4 linked regions of the Saccharomyces cerevisiae S288C genome follow. Changing the gene in region 1 together with any one later gene gives a genetic interaction. Each region holds a gene or a part of one and is shown on either strand. Other genes may lie near its edges. The genes, in order: MIH1, CDC27, HUR1 and CDC11.

What was found.
Region 2: mutations in MIH1 (region 1) and CDC27 together harm fitness more than expected from each alone (negative genetic interaction), as found in Saccharomyces cerevisiae (3 studies listed by BioGRID).
Region 3: mutations in MIH1 (region 1) and HUR1 together harm fitness more than expected from each alone (negative genetic interaction), as found in Saccharomyces cerevisiae (2 studies listed by BioGRID).
Region 4: mutations in MIH1 (region 1) and CDC11 together harm fitness more than expected from each alone (negative genetic interaction), as found in Saccharomyces cerevisiae (4 studies listed by BioGRID, with this or other methods).

The regions. Positions count from the first base shown.
Region 1 is NC_001145.3:340,379-346,787, forward strand, and holds MIH1 (putative tyrosine protein phosphatase MIH1), read right to left. Parts: upstream 3,143-6,409; coding exon 1,478-3,142; downstream 1-1,477. Other genes in the region: RCH1 (Rch1p), read right to left, coding at 1-344; IMP2 (endopeptidase catalytic subunit), read left to right, coding at 764-1,297; stress-responsive transcriptional activator MSN2, read right to left, coding at 4,025-6,139.
Region 2 is NC_001134.8:65,262-71,908, reverse strand, and holds CDC27 (anaphase promoting complex subunit CDC27), read left to right. Parts: upstream 1-2,463; coding exon 2,464-4,740; downstream 4,741-6,647. Other genes in the region: YBL081W (uncharacterized protein), read right to left, coding at 1-43; ALG3 (dolichyl-P-Man:Man(5)GlcNAc(2)-PP-dolichol alpha-1,3-mannosyltransferase), read left to right, coding at 782-2,158; BOI1 (Boi1p), read right to left, coding at 5,091-6,647. UniProt on the Saccharomyces cerevisiae protein: Component of the anaphase promoting complex/cyclosome (APC/C), a cell cycle-regulated E3 ubiquitin-protein ligase complex that controls progression through mitosis and the G1 phase of the cell cycle.
Region 3 is NC_001139.9:184,240-189,193, reverse strand, and holds HUR1 (Hur1p), read right to left. Parts: upstream 1,731-4,954; coding exon 1,398-1,730; downstream 1-1,397. Other genes in the region: Ca(2+)/Mn(2+)-transporting P-type ATPase PMR1, read left to right, coding at 1-1,578; SUA5 (threonylcarbamoyladenylate synthase), read right to left, coding at 1,855-3,135; SPO74 (Spo74p), read left to right, coding at 3,800-4,954.
Region 4 is NC_001142.9:574,854-578,679, forward strand, and holds CDC11 (septin CDC11), read right to left. Parts: upstream 1,749-3,826; coding exon 501-1,748; downstream 1-500. Other genes in the region: HOC1 (alpha-1,6-mannosyltransferase), read left to right, coding at 1-318; MIR1 (Mir1p), read right to left, coding at 2,402-3,337. UniProt on the Saccharomyces cerevisiae protein: Septins are GTPases involved in cytokinesis that assemble early in the cell cycle as a patch at the incipient bud site and form a ring approximate 15 minutes before bud emergence, which transforms into an hour-glass shaped collar of cortical filaments that spans both sides of the mother-bud neck.

The sequences.
Region 1 (6,409 bases):
TTCGGATCATTAGCAGCCTTTACCGCGCAACAAAATCCATATACTATGGACGAGGTAATAAGGAAACTCAGAACCAGAATAGTGGCATGAGCTCTCCAATTTAACATATTTGCCATTAGTGACCTTGATTTCATTCCCAGGCCACTTTGGAGAAAAATCCAGGCGACGCAGCCGTACCCAATACTATATTGGCCTTTAATTAACCCTCCGTCTCTTGCAAAATTCGGAGCAAATCTTGCAATAACGATTAAAATAGCCAAACAGATGAAAAACCACTGGGATTTCAGAAATTCTGTTACTGAATGTGCCCAAATTTTTCGTATTAGAGAGTACTGAGTCTTCATTTGGCACTAAGTAGGTGTATTAAATGTGTGTCTTCCTTCTTTTTGCAAGTTATGTCAGAGTTGGGATATATCGTAGAAAAGGGTGCGAAGGTGATTCAGGTAGCATAGACGGTTTCAGGCAATAAAAAGCTATAAATCTCTCTTTATATAATTGAAGGTTAAAATTTGCTAGATTTTAAAGTGGTTCGGTTCTTTTTTATGCTTTCTTAGCTTCTGGCTGTTCGTTGGAGCTCAGACTTACGGGTAGACCAATGTCATCGAAATACTGTGGAAGATCAAGCTCGGAAGGAGAGCGAGGCTAAGTTCCGAGCTACTGAAAAAAATGGAAAAAACAAGTGCCTTAATTGAATGACTAGATGGGTGCTTGTTAACGAAGGCGTGCTGCTATTCATGAAGCTGTTGCATTGTACTGTACAGTAATGTTTCGAGCCGGATCATCAAAAAGATTCTTACGAAACACACTAATAGCAATTTCATGGGTTCCGGTACTTCTAACAATCAATAATAATGTGGTCCATATTGCGCAAGTTAAAGGTACCTCTATGCAGCCTACGCTGAACCCGCAAACGGAAACGCTGGCAACAGATTGGGTGCTGCTTTGGAAGTTTGGAGTCAAGAACCCAAGTAATTTATCTAGAGATGACATTATCCTTTTCAAAGCTCCTACAAACCCTCGGAAAGTTTACTGCAAAAGGGTTAAAGGTTTACCGTTTGATACCATTGACACGAAGTTTCCATACCCTAAACCTCAAGTGAACCTGCCCAGGGGACACATATGGGTCGAAGGGGACAATTATTTTCATTCGATTGATAGCAATACTTTTGGCCCCATTTCCAGTGGGTTGGTCATAGGGAAAGCTATAACAATTGTTTGGCCACCCTCCAGGTGGGGAACGGATCTCAAACTGAGTACCGGTAGAGACTGCATTAGCAAAAGAGCCATTTTAGAATGAAAATCAGCTTATTTTTATGAATTTAGAAGTGACCCCGGTATTCAAATGCAAATTTTTTATATTATGTGATTAATCTAATGCAATAAATATAGATGATTGTGATTTATGTATTGATGTTGTTGCCGTTCGGTTCCTGAATATATACTTCTTTTTTTCATAATACTTCATGCACATGTAGTATCATTTTTTATCTTCAGTCTCTAGAGAAGGGAATAACGATCTTCTTGCGGGCCTGGGTAAATCTTCTCGGTCGGAACCAACGAAAGTAAAATCTCCGTCTTGCTCTTCATCTCCACTTACTTGCTGATGATTGCCTCTCTCATCTTCGAAACTAAAATATGATGGGGTATCCAGTCCGTCCATTAGTAGCATATGTGAAGTGCTTAGGTTACTGTTACTACTCATAGACGACTTACTTAAGATGGGGAAGAAATTTTCGTCGCCTGTACTCTCACTTGAATTTAATGATGAACCACTAGAGACTCTTCTGTGGTTTAATGACAGCTTCGGAGGCGGCTCAAACCTGAACGATAGTGCAGAAGATGCCATTGTTGTTGAAGATTGATGGCTATCTCTATAAAAGAAGTTAGGATTTGAAGGGGAAGCTAGTTTTCTAAAAGAATTATTTTTAGTAGCAAATCTTTTAGATTCTCTCCTAAACTTATCCATTTCTTGTTCACAATTCAGCAAATTTTCTTGTGAGTTCATTCCCACGTACTGACGTGGATAACATAGTTCAGGAAAATTGTCAAAAACAGCTTTGTATCCGCCATCCAATATCAATATGTCGGGATAGAATAATTTGGGATAATGATCCTGATTTATTATACGATCACAATTTCTCAAATGAGAGGCCAATGAAGGTCCCCGGTGGGAACTAAATTCGCAATGGATAATTAAAAGAGTTGGTAGAGTGTTGTTGTTGCTAGTATCGCTATGCAAAACTTTATGGATAAATTCGTACTCTAACTCATCTCTCGAGTGTATGTTAACGGAGTTTATTATGTGGCCGCCAGTATATTCGTATTCAAACCGACAATCTATAATACGACATGAATTATAAAATGACTCGCACATATTATTCTGCAGAATATTTTTCAACGTTTCTGGAGAAATTCGAGGGAAAAAGTCATTTGAGTTACGATCGTCATAATAATATGGTATCTGTGTTTTGGCTAGGCATGATTCAAAACATTTCACCCCTACCGAATTAGGAGCTAGTGGACTGGATGACGCAGACGTGAAGTTCAAAGTATTCTGAGTAATGTTAGAAAATTTCTGTGAACTTTTTCTCGATGACCTCGGAATTTTCCCATCTTGCCGTTGCACCCTCCTGCTTGAATTGCTACTGCTATTCATGCTTGGCTTTCTCGACAAGGACCTTGACCTTGAAAAAGAGCTCGACCTCTGGGGACTGCCAGGATACTTGATTCTACTTAAAAGATCATTATCCCTATTATTGGTCAAAGATCTTCTTGATGAGTTTCTTGTTGGACTTTGTAAGGTTTGAGAAGCAAAATGCATGCTTAAGACTATATCATCATTTTCATTTTCATTTTCATCTAACTCATCGCGATGGCCAAGCTGCTTTATATTCGGTGAAGGACCATCAATTTCCTTACTCCTGTGATTTGTTAACAATGGAGATTTATCAAAGGCAAGATTCTCTTTATTGATTAAATCATCGTCGACATTCGAATGTTTGCTTTTTGACTTAAAGAAGGTCTGAACATTTCTAAATATGTTCTTCTTCTTACCAAAGGGACTTTTCAAGGAAATTTTTTGGAAACTAAGAACGTCTTCATTGGCACATTCATCTTCAGTTCCATGAAATATATTGTTCATGGTTTCTTCACCCTCGCTGACTTCAATCCTGGTTTGTCCACTGCTCTGTTTATCTTTTGTCTCCTTTCAAGTTAACTCTCTTTTCTTTGTTTTCGCTTGTAACTTTAAGTTTTCTGATATACGGCATCGAAACAGGGAAAAAACAGATAAAGCATAAAAAAGAAGGAAATAACAGAGTGTAACTGTTGGGGAAATATCATAATGAGAATATTTAAACGCCGGAACAATGTATCAAAAAGGGCTTTACCGCTAATAAGTGGAGTATCTATGCTTTTTTGACGTATACAATGGACAGAAAAAGCGCCATATAAAACATTGAAGCCCCTCTTCATCCTTAGTCCTGAAAATGAGGCCTAGGAAATTAAGTATTCGGCAAAGATACATAATACAGTTCTAAAAGTAGCAAACTGGTAGATACTATTTGTGGCGCAGTTAGCTACCCCAAAATAAAAACGGTAATCTTCTCCCATTAGGGGCACCCCTCTTGCTTTTGTACGATGTGGTATCTTCGATTTTCAAACTGACAGGCATATTGCACAGCATAATGCGCACGGAATTCATTAAACTGTACGGATATATATATGATATTACGGTGCCATATGATATTATACAATATTATACTGTACTGTACTATATTATATTATATTGTATTAATTATATTATACTATACCCTATCATACCAAATATTTTGGCTATATTAATTTTTATCTACGTGTATCTAAGTTGTTACAGGCGGGGGAACTGAATTCCTTCAAAATGTGAAGGTACCGGAAAAATGGCAAAGAATCATGATAATAATAACAATAAGCCGTAAGCTTCATAAGTCATTGAACAGAATTATCTTATGAAGAAAGATCTATCGAATTAAAAAAATGGGGTCTATTAAATGTCTCCATGTTTTTTATGAGTCTTGATGTGTTGCGACAAATTATCGCTTCTACTAAATTTCTTATCGCATATGTGACAAGCAAATGGTCGTTCGTTAGAGTGAACAGATCTCACATGCCTTTTCAAATGTTCGCTGCGCTTAAAGCTCTTGGGACAAATGTGACAGTGGAACGGTTTCTCCTCGAGTTCCTTTGTTGATTCTATTACGACACTTGATCTTCTGGACGGTGTCATTGATTTTCTCCTGTAACTTGGCCTTCTTTCCTTCGTAACCCCAGCACCATTGCCAGTTGAGTTGACACTACTACTGCTTATATTATTTTGTTGATTTGTAAGCGGCACCGTACCCATCAAAGGCACAGCAGACTTCCGCCTCCGAAGGGAAGAACCGATTTTAGAGTTCATGGTATGGTGACCCTGCTGTGGGAAATGGTGATAGAAATGATTTGTTGCAAGAGACGTGGAGGATGATGATGCAGGCGATAATGGAGCCATATTCATTTGAGTGATGGAAAGATCGAAATTTGGAGTAGAATTAGCATTTTGTTCACCTTCCTCTGTCAAAAATGGCATATCATTACTCAAGCCTGTAGTCGCCACTTTCGCAATAACGGACGCATTGTCTGAAAGAATCATAGACGGTTTGATAAATTGTTGAGATGAACTCAAATTTGAATTCGGCAGCATATCGTTCTTGGGGTCTTCATCCTGCTTATTAACCAGGTCGTAGCTTAGTGAATCATCGATTATGGGTAAAGAAGCTCTTTGCCTTCTTGAATAAAGATCGCTGTTGAAGGATTTCATGTTAGTGCTACTGTTATTATGTGACGAGGTGAGCTGCTTGTGTTGAACTCGGTTTAGCTGTTGCTGTAATTGCTGACTTGGATTTATCTTTGTCATAGCATTGGCATCAAAAGAACTTGGGCAAGCAGATTTGTTCTTGCCAGAAGTGGATGTGCCCAAATTATCGTTGAAGTTCATATTATATTCGTTAAGAATCTGTGTCAACTCATTGTCTATGGTAGCGTCATTGTTTTTCGGGTTGCCAGCAATATTTGAGTCTGCATTTGCGTTCATAGTAGTGGTATTCGGACTTGCATTGGAACTTGAGGTAGAATTAGTAGTGATATTGAGATTTGTATTTCTATTGCTTGGATTAATTTTCGGATGGTTCCAAAGGTCCAAAGAGTGAGAAATAGAATTCCTCGAATTTGTCATTGACGGAAATTGGTTTGTTATAACGTCGCTAAATCTTCGGCGTGATAAATTAGTGTCATCATCATCATCATTCAATAAGAGATCACTAGAAACGTAATCATCTAGCATGGAGTCTATGTTCAGTGAATTAAAATAACTGGAATTTAAATTACCCGTAGAATTGGAGTTTGAATTAGAAATGGAGTTAGAATATGAATTTGTATCTGAGTTCAATTGATTTCTTAGTTTTTCGTTCAAATTGTTTGGGTTAGTGTCAATGAAAAGATTCGAATTAGCACCATTAGGTAAGGACAGACGATTATCTTTAATGGACGTATGTTGTTGGGCTCGAGGAGATATAAGAGTTTCATTACCATTTGAAGTTTGAGGCGATAAATTAGTTTCGTTACTTGCTGTATTTATGGGAGGATTTATAGTCGGATTTTGAGGTACCGATGAAGGTGACGGTGATTGTAACGGATTGTTCATGTTGTACAAAATGTCGTTCATAGGATAAGGTGAAGTAAGAGTTGTGTATTGATTTGCCCCAGAGCCACTAGCATTATTAGTACTCTTAATTTCACTATCATTTTCAATAGTTCTTGCATCGCGATTTTTGTTGCTATCAGCTTTCAAATGCAAGCTGTTATCGGTAGTGGATGGTATCGTTTCCGTTACGGGCAGTGGAGAGTCGAAAGATAGTGGAGGAAGCCCCAAATTCAGTGAAGTTTCTTGATTTTGAATGTCATTGAGATCCGCACTATCTAAGACAGTGTTTTTGATATCTAGAGAATACGGGATAACATCGTTGTTAATATTATTTGGGTTATTATTCTCCACGTATTGTATACTACTCATGCTTTCTATGGGGAATAAAATATCTTCGCTATTGAAATCATGGTCGACCGTCATTTTAGATCTAGTTCTTCTATGAGCAATAAAAGTTGAAAAAAGAAAGAAAAAATAAAGCAAATAAAACCAAAGAAAAAAAGGTAGCCTCTTGGCGTATGAAATACCTTGCTACTACTGTTGTGATCTTCCCGAAAAATATGAGGAAGATACCGATAAAGTAAGGAAGAAAAAAGCAATATCTTTTTTTTTTTGAACTTTTCGTATTACAGACTAGTTTCTGTTATCTCCAAGGTTTCCGTCTGTTTTATTTTCGTGTAACACAGTTTCTAA
Region 2 (6,647 bases), on another chromosome or scaffold:
CGTTCTGCGACAAAAACGGAATGCTGATTATCTGGCCTGGCATATATACGATGTCTTAGTGAAATAGAGCCAAAAAAAAAAAAGAAAATTATTACAAAAAACCGAAACCCAAATGATAAATAATAATAGTAACAAATAATAATAATGGAAATCAAAAAAGTCGTATCAAATATTAAGCGAAGGATGGAAGGTACCTCTTGTTCTAGGTGCCACGATGCAGAAAAAAAGATCAGGAAAAACGAATGGGAAAAAGAGAAAAAGCTGGAAACGGGATTCTCTTTTTTCTATGCTGCTTTTGCTTTGCACTATTGGATAGTGTCTGTAGTATCTAAACTGATTGCCTATCTCTTCTGTGCTGGCATCTTATTCGATGTATATAGTTCTTAATATCTAGTGAAAAATTTTTGACAAATTTCTCGAGACCTGAATCTTCGACACGCAAGAAAAAATTGAAAAATTAACGTGGACCCTGGGAAGCGATGAGCTAGAGAAGGTAAATACAGGGTCGTACGACGCAGAAGCATCCCAAAATTGTTGCAACAAGTATGGAATGTCACATTAGAGATTTCCCAATCTTACATGACTCTTTATTGCTGTTTTGTAGATAGCCTTCCATGTAAAATGCATTTGCCGTCACATTCTGTGTGCGGTTGCTGGGTGCTGTAAACAAGCTAAAGAAATTTCGCTATCGAACTTAAAGAACAACGCAGTACACTAGTTGGGAGTGAAAACAGTATCATAGAGTGTGTATGGGAGAGAGAAAGAGTTAGATACTAGTAGTATGGAAGGTGAACAGTCTCCGCAAGGTGAAAAGTCTCTGCAAAGGAAGCAATTTGTCAGACCTCCGCTGGATCTGTGGCAGGATCTCAAGGACGGTGTGCGCTACGTGATCTTCGATTGTAGGGCCAATCTTATCGTTATGCCCCTTTTGATTTTGTTCGAAAGCATGCTGTGCAAGATTATCATTAAGAAGGTAGCTTACACAGAGATCGATTACAAGGCGTACATGGAGCAGATCGAGATGATTCAGCTCGATGGCATGCTGGACTACTCTCAGGTGAGTGGTGGAACGGGCCCGCTGGTGTATCCAGCAGGCCACGTCTTGATCTACAAGATGATGTACTGGCTAACAGAGGGAATGGACCACGTTGAGCGCGGGCAAGTGTTTTTCAGATACTTGTATCTCCTTACACTGGCGTTACAAATGGCGTGTTACTACCTTTTACATCTACCACCGTGGTGTGTGGTCTTGGCGTGCCTCTCTAAAAGATTGCACTCTATTTACGTGCTACGGTTATTCAATGATTGCTTCACTACTTTGTTTATGGTCGTCACGGTTTTGGGGGCTATCGTGGCCAGCAGGTGCCATCAGCGCCCCAAATTAAAGAAGTCCCTTGCGCTGGTGATCTCCGCAACATACAGTATGGCTGTGAGCATTAAGATGAATGCGCTGTTGTATTTCCCTGCAATGATGATTTCTCTATTCATCCTTAATGACGCGAACGTAATCCTTACTTTGTTGGATCTCGTTGCGATGATTGCATGGCAAGTCGCAGTTGCAGTGCCCTTCCTGCGCAGCTTTCCGCAACAGTACCTGCATTGCGCTTTTAATTTCGGCAGGAAGTTTATGTACCAATGGAGTATCAATTGGCAAATGATGGATGAAGAGGCTTTCAATGATAAGAGGTTCCACTTGGCCCTTTTAATCAGCCACCTGATAGCGCTCACCACACTGTTCGTCACAAGATACCCTCGCATCCTGCCCGATTTATGGTCTTCCCTGTGCCATCCGCTGAGGAAAAATGCAGTGCTCAATGCCAATCCCGCCAAGACTATTCCATTCGTTCTAATCGCATCCAACTTCATCGGCGTCCTATTTTCAAGGTCCCTCCACTACCAGTTTCTATCCTGGTATCACTGGACTTTGCCTATACTGATCTTTTGGTCGGGAATGCCCTTCTTCGTTGGTCCCATTTGGTACGTCTTGCACGAGTGGTGCTGGAATTCCTATCCACCAAACTCACAAGCAAGCACGCTATTGTTGGCATTGAATACTGTTCTGTTGCTTCTATTGGCCTTGACGCAGCTATCTGGTTCGGTCGCCCTCGCCAAAAGCCATCTTCGTACCACCAGCTCTATGGAAAAAAAGCTCAACTGAAACAGATGTATAAATATCATATAATCGTATTGTTTTAAATCATTTCTTTATACCATCTATATAGTACTACTAGTATTTAATGGTGCCGTTATTACCCGCGCTTGATTTTCCTTTTTTTTTTTGATCAAAAGGATGGAACAGGCTGAAAGTAAACCAAAAGGATCAAAGTGCAAGCAAAGGTGCCACAGAAAAGTTTATCAAAAAACCATACCTAGCTGTGAGAGTTTTAGACTCTGTTTTGGTGACTGCATATCTATTCATAAATCGACACGAACTTTTCGTGCAGGATACATAATAAAAATAGCATGGCGGTAAATCCTGAGTTAGCACCGTTCACCCTCTCGAGAGGAATCCCCAGCTTTGATGATCAAGCTTTGAGCACCATCATACAGCTTCAGGACTGCATTCAGCAGGCTATTCAGCAGTTGAACTACAGTACCGCAGAGTTTTTGGCCGAACTGCTCTATGCTGAATGCTCCATTCTCGATAAATCAAGTGTTTACTGGTCCGATGCGGTATATTTATATGCACTTTCGCTGTTTCTGAATAAAAGCTACCACACTGCGTTCCAGATATCCAAAGAATTCAAGGAGTATCATCTTGGTATCGCTTACATATTCGGGCGTTGTGCTTTACAGCTTTCGCAGGGAGTTAACGAAGCTATCCTCACTCTTCTCTCAATAATAAATGTATTTTCTTCGAACAGCAGTAATACGCGCATAAATATGGTGTTGAATTCTAATCTCGTCCATATTCCCGATTTGGCCACTTTGAATTGCCTGTTAGGCAATCTTTATATGAAACTGGACCATTCTAAGGAGGGAGCATTTTATCATTCTGAAGCATTAGCCATTAATCCTTACCTTTGGGAATCTTACGAAGCGATTTGTAAAATGAGAGCTACCGTGGATCTCAAGAGGGTTTTTTTCGACATTGCAGGGAAAAAAAGTAATAGTCATAATAATAATGCAGCTTCATCGTTTCCGTCTACATCACTATCGCATTTCGAACCTCGTTCACAACCTAGCTTATATTCAAAAACAAACAAAAACGGCAATAATAATATCAATAATAATGTTAATACACTGTTTCAGTCGTCTAATTCTCCCCCTTCTACATCGGCATCTTCTTTTTCTTCCATTCAGCATTTCTCAAGGTCACAGCAGCAACAAGCGAACACATCAATAAGGACCTGCCAGAACAAAAATACTCAAACTCCTAAAAACCCTGCAATCAACAGTAAGACGTCTTCTGCGCTACCAAATAACATTTCCATGAACTTAGTGTCTCCATCCTCCAAACAGCCTACAATAAGCTCGTTGGCCAAAGTTTATAACAGAAACAAACTTTTAACGACTCCTCCATCGAAACTGTTAAATAACGATAGGAACCACCAAAATAACAATAATAATAATAATAATAATAATAATAATAATAATAATAATAATAATAATAATAATAATAATAACATTATAAATAAAACAACTTTCAAAACTCCAAGAAACCTATATTCCTCAACAGGAAGGTTAACAACTTCCAAGAAAAATCCAAGGTCTTTAATAATCAGTAACTCAATACTAACGAGTGATTATTCAATTACGCTGCCTGAAATCATGTATAATTTCGCTTTAATATTAAGGTCGTCATCACAATACAATTCGTTCAAGGCAATAAGACTGTTCGAGTCTCAAATCCCATCTCATATTAAAGACACAATGCCATGGTGTCTAGTGCAATTAGGAAAACTTCATTTTGAGATCATTAATTATGATATGTCCTTAAAGTATTTCAATAGATTGAAAGACCTACAACCGGCAAGGGTAAAAGATATGGAAATTTTTTCTACTTTGCTGTGGCATTTGCATGACAAGGTTAAATCTTCAAATTTGGCAAATGGGCTAATGGATACAATGCCTAATAAGCCCGAAACATGGTGTTGTATAGGTAATTTGCTATCATTGCAAAAGGATCATGATGCCGCAATAAAAGCCTTCGAAAAAGCTACTCAGTTAGACCCAAATTTTGCATACGCGTATACTTTGCAAGGTCATGAACATTCTTCCAACGATTCTTCGGATTCTGCCAAGACATGCTATAGAAAGGCGCTAGCTTGTGATCCTCAGCATTACAATGCATATTACGGATTGGGTACGAGCGCTATGAAATTAGGTCAATATGAAGAAGCGTTGTTATATTTTGAAAAGGCAAGGTCAATTAATCCCGTCAATGTTGTGTTAATCTGTTGTTGCGGTGGTTCTTTAGAAAAGCTGGGCTATAAGGAAAAGGCTCTACAATATTATGAACTAGCATGTCATTTGCAACCGACTTCCTCGCTATCCAAATATAAGATGGGCCAGTTGCTCTATTCCATGACAAGATATAATGTTGCTTTGCAAACTTTTGAAGAATTGGTGAAACTCGTTCCTGATGATGCCACAGCCCATTATTTGCTGGGTCAAACATATAGAATAGTTGGGAGGAAAAAAGATGCAATCAAGGAGCTAACTGTTGCTATGAATTTGGATCCAAAGGGTAACCAAGTTATCATCGATGAATTACAAAAATGTCATATGCAAGAATAAACGCAGGTTGGCCAAAACATAACAAATTGAAACATGTTAAATGTTTTCATAATTCTTTTTGTTCTTCGTTGTTTCATATTTATTTTTAAGTTAATGTAATAGTAATAGTTAATAATAATAACGTTAATGGTAACAATAATAATAATATATATATCCAGTAATTTGAAAGAAGAGGACATCATGTCTGCGGTTCCTGCGATGTACTTCTTGATAGTATCAGTGTCTAATTTGATTGTATTAATTCGTAAACTTTTTATTTTTATATACTTTATATCACTATATTATGTTCTATTAAATATTAATTATTAAGGTGTTTAAGTTGGTCAAGAAGTAACTAATGATTGCAGTTCTCAAAGTCTGCCACCAGGGTATTCAAATGCTGAACTTTCCAGGTAATCGCTGGTCTCAAATTGATCTTGTTCGATTGGATAATTAGAATTTCTTTTATTTTGGGTGTCATCCCATCCAAATTGATCTCTTCCCTCTTCCTCTTCAGCATCTCTTAACTGGGTTTGTAACCTAGCTTCTTCCAATAGCGTCTGTGCCTTGCTTAGAGGTATCGTTGGTGTGGCATATGAACTAATGACAGGGACGCTTGTATCAATATCAATAGTGGCCTTTATTATGGCTGACAGCCATGCCTTCATTTCAGATTTATTCTCAACTGCAAAATAGTGAACGCGAGGTTCTGTAAAGGTTAGCCCCTTTTTGGACCCCGGTTGCGGAGGGACCAATTTGAAACAGTATTTTCCTTTTCCTAAGCTCGCAGCGTATAAGGAAATGAGCCTATCATCATCACTGGCAGGTAAGACCCTATGTGCCGTTATATCTATCAGGCCACGCTCCTTCTCATCATTGGTATTCGTAAAATAAGAAAGCCTTGTTCCATGAAGTGTGAAAAACCGTTGTTTCCAAGTCCCCATAGCACCGGTACCTTTTTTGCTCATCCAGCCTGAACAGTCCGCAGTTTGCATAGATTCCTTTGCTGTGATAGAGCGTATACCTTCGGTAAAAGCAGATGTTTGTTGCTTTTTAGCATTCGACCTGGGAAGTATCGATTTGGTAGATTTTTGGGTAAGTTCACTGGGAGATCTTTTGAATTCCTTGCTTCCTACAAATGATTCTTTGGTGCTACTAAATAATTTCTTTTTGCTTTTTTCTTCGGAAGAGCCATCTTTGGAGCTACTGTTCTTGTGTTTGTGCTTGCTCTTGTGCTTGTGCTTGTGCTTGTGCTTCCCTTCACTTGGTTGTGATACTGCCTCCTTATTATTACTACTAGTAGGAGTTTCGCTATGCGCTAAAGCAATATTGGATTTGGAATTTATAGGGCTTAAAGAAGTTTTCAAGGGGCTGGTAACTAACGAGTGTTTTCTACTATGGGAGTAAGATTGTGATCTTGCATGCGAATAGGAATTCGACTGAGAACGAGAATGGGAAGTCATCTTTGCGGGATCGATAGTGAAAGTTTGTTTGGTTGGTGACGTTGGATTAGACTGACTTTTTGAAGAAAAAAAAGATAATATAGAAGAGTTTCTCCTATGCTTTTTCATTTCAGAAAGTGAGGCATCTCTTGAATGTCCGTAAGACGACTTTCTGCGTGCTGAGTCAAAAACTGCTCTGCTAGCTTTTGAAGGTTGTTTCGTTTCTTCTTCGTCGAAACTTGACTTGACTGGCGATAGCATTGAAATCCTGTTGAACAAATCAACAAATGAGCTTCCGGATTCCGTCCTCTTATGGTTATTGTAAACAACGGAATTTCTGTTCGGATGATGAGATGTAGCATTTGAAGATATATTTGAAATTGCGGGTAGAGATTCATCTGTGTTAACCGTGTTAATAGAAGGTATAGTAGCAGATGTCAGTGTTGTTTTCCTAGAGTTCGAGTCATGACCATTCATGGCAGGGAA
Region 3 (4,954 bases), on another chromosome or scaffold:
CTAACTATCGGTAATCTCTGTAATAATGCATCTTTCTCTCAAGAACATGCCATATTTCTGGGAAATCCTACTGATGTAGCTCTTTTAGAGCAATTGGCAAACTTTGAAATGCCTGATATCAGAAACACCGTTCAAAAAGTTCAGGAACTTCCATTTAACTCGAAAAGAAAATTAATGGCAACCAAGATTCTCAACCCTGTCGACAATAAGTGTACAGTTTATGTTAAAGGTGCATTTGAAAGAATTCTTGAGTACTCCACAAGTTATTTGAAATCAAAGGGTAAAAAAACTGAAAAGTTGACTGAAGCCCAAAAAGCTACGATAAATGAGTGCGCAAATTCTATGGCATCTGAAGGTTTGCGTGTCTTTGGATTTGCTAAACTAACTTTGTCTGATTCATCAACTCCTCTAACCGAAGACCTAATCAAAGATTTAACCTTTACTGGTTTAATCGGTATGAATGACCCACCAAGACCGAACGTTAAATTTGCCATCGAACAATTACTACAAGGTGGTGTCCATATTATTATGATCACTGGTGATTCTGAGAATACCGCAGTAAACATTGCAAAACAAATTGGTATTCCAGTTATTGATCCAAAGCTTTCCGTTTTATCCGGTGATAAATTAGATGAAATGTCAGATGATCAACTGGCCAATGTCATCGACCACGTTAATATTTTTGCTCGTGCTACGCCTGAGCATAAGTTAAACATTGTTCGTGCATTAAGAAAGAGGGGTGATGTGGTAGCAATGACTGGTGATGGTGTTAACGACGCTCCTGCGTTGAAACTTTCAGATATTGGTGTTTCTATGGGTAGAATTGGTACAGATGTAGCCAAAGAAGCCTCAGATATGGTCTTAACTGATGATGACTTCAGTACTATTTTAACTGCCATTGAAGAGGGTAAAGGTATCTTTAATAATATTCAGAATTTCCTGACTTTTCAATTGTCTACTTCTGTTGCCGCACTATCATTAGTTGCACTATCTACAGCGTTTAAACTACCCAATCCACTGAACGCAATGCAAATTCTTTGGATAAATATTTTAATGGATGGGCCACCAGCTCAATCCTTAGGTGTGGAACCTGTTGATCATGAAGTTATGAAAAAACCTCCAAGAAAACGTACCGATAAAATTTTGACCCATGATGTAATGAAACGTTTACTAACCACCGCGGCCTGTATCATCGTTGGGACAGTTTACATTTTTGTTAAAGAGATGGCCGAAGATGGTAAAGTAACTGCTAGAGATACTACTATGACATTTACTTGTTTTGTTTTTTTTGATATGTTTAATGCTTTGGCCTGCAGACATAACACAAAGTCAATCTTCGAAATCGGCTTTTTCACGAACAAAATGTTCAACTACGCCGTTGGACTGTCTCTGTTAGGTCAAATGTGCGCTATATATATACCATTTTTCCAAAGTATCTTTAAAACTGAGAAACTTGGTATCTCTGATATACTATTGTTATTGCTCATCAGCAGTAGCGTTTTCATCGTTGATGAATTGAGAAAATTGTGGACGAGGAAAAAGAATGAAGAAGACTCAACGTATTTCTCAAATGTTTGATATGTCACATTTTGTGCTTTTATCGTTTTTCCTTCCTTCCCTTTATCTTTCATGAGGACGCCCAACCCTATTGAGGTAAATGTACTAATTAATGGGAACATATGTAGATGTATATATGTACATATATTTACAACGGATACTAAGATAAACATGTATGGGCGACTTTTCGTATATACAAAGCAATATAAAATTTTATTCTTTCCTTCTTTTTCCGGACTAGATATAAAATCTCCGTAATCAGTGGTTATGATTTTCAAAAGTTAATCACAGTTTTATTTAAAACTGTATACAATTATTTGCAGCCGCCTTTCGCAATCTGTTCATAACAGCTAATCCTTCTCCTTCCTCATTTATACCTTCGACAAATATTAGGTCTACTTTATCATTTTCATCCACTTTTCTTAAAGCTGCAAACAAGTTAGTCTGTATTTCTTCACCAGATTGGCCAAGTCTTTCGATGATGAAAGTTTTCGAAGAAAAATCGGGTTCATTAAAGATCTTAGATTGTAAGTCGGAATCACGTAATTTTAGGGAAGTTAAAATCGCAATTTTTTTTATATTACTGTTGGCTTTTAATTCCGTTTCGATTAACCTCTTTAATCTTTCCATCCTATCAACGCCCTTAAGAATGCCATCGCCTTCGCAATGAGGAACTAGTAAAACAACTTTAGCTGAAGGGGAATAGTGTCTATACTTCATACCAGGCGTTCTTACCTTTTCGCCCTTTTCAACTGTTTTCTTATTCTCAACTTTACAAAGAGACCAAGCTTCACCACCCAATTTAACAATTTCTTCATATGTAAAACCGCCAGGTCGCAGTAGCGTAGGAGGATTACATAACCCATCAACAACAGTACTTTCTACACCAACCTTGCACGCTCCGCCATCAAGAATTATGGGAATTTTATCCTTTAGATCATGATAAACATGAGACGCTAAAGTAGGAGATGGCCTAGTAGACGCATTCGCTGAAGGAGCAGCTATTGGTGTATCGCTCAGGGCAATCAGTGCTCTAGCCACTGGATTAGCGGGTATGCGTACCGCAAACGTAGGCTGATCTGCGGTCGTTAACTTTGATAATGCACTATGCTCTGAAGATGGAACTGGCAAAAGAATTGTTAATGGGCCAGGCCAAAGGCTTGAAATTAATGGGCGATAGATTGAGGGTATGTTATCAAACAAGGATGTACCTGATAGATGCGGTTGATTAAAGACCTTTCTGTTAAGTTGATCAATGGATGAAACATGTGTAATCAAAGGATTGTCACTAGGCCTATTTTTGGCCCTGTATATACTAAGCACTGAATTATCATTTAAAGCAGAACCTCCAAGACCATAAACAGTTTCGGTTGGAAAAGCCACAGTCTCATCTGTATCTCTTATTATCCTCGCCGCTTCAACTAGCGCTGCTTCCGTTTCAGGATCTGTTATCGTTGGTAAGGAACCATCTATATGCGCATCAGGGGAGAAAATGATTGATAGCGGGTTAACTTTTAAGATCTTGGTATCAAACAGTGCTTTCGATGTCATTGCCAAAAAATGTCGTCCAAGGTACATACAATTCTAAAAATGGAATAATAAACAGGACTACCATTAAAAATGGAAACAGGTTTAGTGGTAAGTTAACAGCGCAGAAGAAAAAAAAAATTTGAGGAGAAGAATAAAGCTCTCGCTTCAAATATTATCAGCTTCAATAGGTATGTGCGATGAGGTTACTATCTTCTGGGTGAAAAAATAGTAAGGCTAGCGTAGATAATGATTTGAAATTTCTCAAAAAAATATTTTTGATACATATAATAATTTTGAAGCCTGAATTTTTCAACGAAATAGCCTTGTTGGCGCAATCGGTAGCGCGTATGACTCTTAATCATAAGGTTAGGGGTTCGAGCCCCCTACAGGGCTATCTTTTTTAGGCTCAAATCAAAAAAATGTCTAATATATTAAATTCTACTTCCTTTTTATATCTCAAAGAAGAAGGCATTTAACCCCATTCATATGGTTTACACTTGTGTTGAGATTTGTTGCTTGCGCTTCTTTTATCCTTTTAAACCGCTTATTTATCCTTTCCAACGATAAGGCTCAAATGACATCAATGTTCTCTTTTGTGTCACAAGAAATATAAATAACAACAATAAAACATTAGGTATTTAGTTGGAAGTCAAACTTGAAACTCTTCCCGGTTATGTTGTATTGGCAAGGAAAGAGCTGAATTGGTTGAGTGATGGGAGCTGGCACTCTTTTAAATGGATTAGAAAAGGAAAACTTTCCAAATAACATCCATTCAGATTTGCCTGCGTATCCTAACATGGATTCTCAAGAAGATGGCAATACTAGTAAGGAAAGTAAAAGAAATAGTCCAGTAAAACAGAAGTCCCAAAAAGATGAAGAAAAGTCATCTAAAATGGGGACTGCAAGCAACATATTCCATGAAAATAAAGATATACACGAAAGATCTGAACACACGGACGATTTTAATGATGGCTTAAAACTGGCTCCGGACTCTAGTCCAAGCTTGAAAGAGTGTCAATTTAAAAATTGGGAAAGTTTTTGGTGTAATACAGAAGGTTACAAAACTAAACACATGCAGCCCTTTCATTTTACAAGCGGATTAGAAGAAATAAAGGAACCGGTCATGGAATTGAATATTTCCACTTCACCATACAAGGGACAGAGGCCAAATTCAGCTCCAACCGAGTATTCAGCTGCCACAACAGCGTTTACCAAAACACAATTAGAGGTGAGTTTTCTAAAAACCAACTTGCTTACATACATTAAAAAAGAGATTGACATTTGCTTGTCAAGTGTTCCATTTTTTGACGACGCAGTTCAAATGCAAAAGAAATTCTTGGAATACAGAGATATTGACTTGGATGAAGAATATGAGCTCAAAATTTTGGGGGAACTTTTGAATGATTTAAACTTCTTTCATATGCAAGAAAACTCTTTGCTAAATAGAGAGCTAGCAGTTCGTAGATTCTCCAATCAACCTGAAAGTCAAAATTTACCTTCCATTAGGGATTTTAGAAATCCACTTTTGCCAATAGATAACCGCCCTTCTCCCCCATTAGGATTGAAAAGAAACGGAAAGTCTTTCGAGGAAACCTATGATTTCACGTCCAATACATCAAATTTTTGGGGAGAAAAAGCAGAACTACAAAACTCCATAACTGGTGGAACACCCTATTTTTTCCACCCTAACAATATACATCAAACAAAACCTTTTATGTCATTTGAAAATCAAAATGAACTTCTATTCCAGAGAAAAAATTCAGATTACAAGCAGCATTTTAACTCTGGAAGAAATATACATAATGGAGTGGAATCGAAATCTTACAGAGGTGTGGGGTTAAACGATAGTTATCAAAAGGGTTATGCA
Region 4 (3,826 bases), on another chromosome or scaffold:
AAGAGGGACGACCAACTAAACGTCAATCTAAGGAATGATCTGAATATTATGAGTTGGACGGGTTCTGGGTTGTGGACTGACACTATTTTCACGTATTTCAATGACTTTATGAGAAGTGGTGTCAGGGAGAAGGTTACATGGAAATTATTCCATAACCTAAATCAACCAAAATTGCTAAGTGATGTTCTGGTCTTTCCAAAATTCTCCTTTAACTGTCCAAACCAAATCGATAATGACGATCCACACAAGAAATTCTATTTCATTACTCATTTGGCATCACAATTTTGGAAAAATACTCCAAAGGTGGAGCAGAAATAAGTACTTCTACGCAGATATAATAAGGAACTTTTTTGTTAATTTTTTTTTGCTGATCGATATTAATACTTTTTAAGAATGAAGAAAAAAAAAAAATAATATACCAGATGTATTTACTTATATACAACACTCACTCTTTATATATATAGAGAAAGAAGAAATAAGTGAGGAAGCCAAAAGCGGACTCATTCTTCCTGTTTGATTTTCGCCTCTTTTTCCAACCTGGCTTCAATTTCTCTTAATTCCTTTTCTCTTTGCAACAGTTCTTGTCTTTTCAACAGCAGTTCTTGCTGAACTCTCTCCTCAAATGCCTTTAGTCGCTCTTCTTCTAACCGTATTTGCTCCTCACGTGTCATGTAGGTTTCGTTATTTTCGCCAGTGCTTTGCCCGTGCATATCGGATGCTGGGTTGAGAACATCGTTATTAATATTATTACTTTGCTTGAAGGGATTTGTGTTTCTCCTTGTTGTGGTGGACGATGACGACGAACCATTCAATTTTGTCAGATTTGGACGTATGGATTCTGCCGCGACAGATTCACCTGATAATGCCTCGGTTCTATATCTTTCATATAATATCTCATGTGTGTAGTTTTTCAAGTCATGTAAATGAGAGATCAATAACGCATTCCTTAAGATAACAAAATCAGAGATCGATGAATCTTCCACGTCCAGTATGCCCCATGGATACTTTCTGCCACGAATTGTCCCAACATCGCCGCCCATTTCGTAAACTTCATTGGATCCAATAATAGCAAAAGGTAGAAGTGTACGTAGGTACATATTGGTTTCGTAATCTTCGTCTGATATTTCATCTTCATCGAAAGGGAAATTATAAATTGGCAAGTTCCATCTGTCGATATCCTCCATGATCAATTTTTTATTCAGTTTCAGTTCATCTCTTGTCAAGGAATCTGATTTGCTGATCACAGGGATGATGTTAACTAAGGATCCCAACTGTCTGATGAATTCCACATCAATCTCTTTTAAACCGTGGCCAGTTGGGTTGATTAAGTAAAGACAACAATGAACTCTGCCGTCCTTAAATCTTGGGTTTCTTCTCACACGACTTTCTTCCAATAAGATTTCATCATATTGGTGGCGAATGTAGTCGGAAATGATTTCGAAAGATGGAGAATTGTCGAGAGAATCACCGAATCCCGGAGTATCGATGATATTAAGTTGAATCTTGACACCTTCATCATCTTCTAATTCGACCGTCTCCTCTCTCAATTGTAAGTCTATTTCTGTGGACGTATCTGTGGGTAACAAGATTGTCGTCGAAGTGTCTACAACTTGCTGACCGCACAAAGTATTTATAAAAGTCGATCTACCAGATCCGGACTGGCCCACGATCATCACAGTGAAGGTTATACCTCTTTTCAAATGCTTTCTTTTTCTTAATGCAGAAGATGCGTCAATTATTCCGGACATGGCTGGTGGTTAGCAACTTTAGGCCTTGTGATGATTGACTTTCTAAACGGCTCCAGATCGGGTCGCCAATACGTGGTGTCTACCTATTTTACTTTTCGATCAAATACTTTTTTGTTTATTTTTCTTTATGTTAGAAGGCGGAAAAATAAAGAATACTGGCGATCCTGCATGGTCGGGTAACGACCCACGAGCATTGTGTTGTGTAAATATAGCCATATTTAAGCTATATTTATCTGTATAACATATACGTGTCCGTATGTGCCCGACCAAATATGTTACTGCGATGAAATGGATTGAGAACGATGTTTAAATGTTATGTTCCATGTTGTGTTTTCCACCAAAAAACCGTGAAGGACAATTCAATGAGCAAAGGGTTTAACGGAGCTATAACCTGCTTTTGTAGATGAAAAAATAGAAAATTCAAATATATATATATATATATATTTATAATAGCATGTTAATTTACAGATATTTGGACTTTTGCAAAGTCAGTAAATACATGGAATAAGAATACTAGTGATTGAATAGAGTACATTTAAACAGATTTATTTATTTCTTTCCTTTGTTGACTCTTTCTTAGAATATGAAAAAAAAAAGGGGCTCCGGTGGTGATGAGGAGAGAATATATATGCATGTATCAATCAAGACCATTTCTAATGACCACCACCACCAATTTCAATGGTTGGTGGGCAACCCAAAGTGCTCTTTAAAGAACCATAAATACCAAATTGCAAGGAGGTCAAGGTACCAACCATGACCAAACGAGTAGGCAACCCAGCAAAGGAACCGAAAAATCCTAACTGTTTGGCCAACTGAGCCAACAAACCGACTGTGGATTGGCCAGGAGCCTTCTTAGTCTTGTTGACCTTGGACAACAGAGTGTCTGCTGGCTGGGAAACAATGGCAGCGGCCAAACCAGCAGTCAAACCGGAAAGCAAATTCAACAAAGTAGTGGAAGTAGAGGACAATTTTTCTTTTGGACCGGCGAACCCGTAGTAGAACTCGGAGGCACGTTCAAAGACCAAGAATTTAGCAATGTTGTAAGGAATTTGCTTGAACAAAATTGGAGTGAACCCACTGTAGAAAGAGCCGATACCTTCTTCTTTCAAAATTCTGGAAAACCCTCCGACGAGTCCATTAGCGAACTGTGGTTGGGAGACCAATCTGATTCTAGTGGCTTCTAGGGGACACAAGGCAATGTCTGCCAAGAATTCGGCCATGGCAGCAGAACCCATGTAAACAGAGTTCTTGTAGCGAGAGGCGGTATCGTAACCCAAGTTGTCAATGAAGAACTTCTTGAACACTTCGTAACCACCGAACTTGAAGGCACCTTGGATAGAGTAACCCAACAAAGTAGGACCAAACCCGGTCAACAACGCACCAGCACCTTCTCCGGCGATGATTTGCTTGAAAGAGCCGACCATACCCTTGTTGTACACGGTAGGTTCCAGTTGGATTCTCGTCTTAACGACATCGATCGGGACCATACTGGAGTGAGTCGACCCGCACCCTATGGCGCCGGCTAGGGCGAATTTCATGTAGTCAGAGACAGAGTACTGTGGAATAGCAGGAGCAGCAGACACAGACATGGTGAGATGAGACTTTTTGATCTTTGTAGTTCTTCTTCTTGCAGATCACTCTGTTCTTTGCGATGGTTCTTGTAGATAAAAAGATCGGGAGGATGGATCGCACTTAAAAATCTTCTCGAAACGGGCCGCGGCCGGGCATGGGACCCGTTCTCGACGCTGATTGGCTAACGATGGTTGGGCAGAGTCTCAGCTGCTGCTTGCTCACATTCGACAAAAGACTAGAGGAAAGCAGTACCATGCTGCGATACTGTTGCATCGCAGCATTCCGCTGTCCAAAAACAATACCTGTTGTATTGTTTGAGGCTGGCAGGCGCTTGGGTAGAAACAACACCCGATACTGGTGACAGGGCTATCTATAAATATTAAAACTTGACTCCGCAATTCGTCGTAAACTGCCTTAACCATCGTAATGGACGCCGTGCAAATGCTTCGACTTTTCCCAGTAGTCAGGCATTGCGCCAGACACTTGTGCTGCTTAATTGTCGTAAT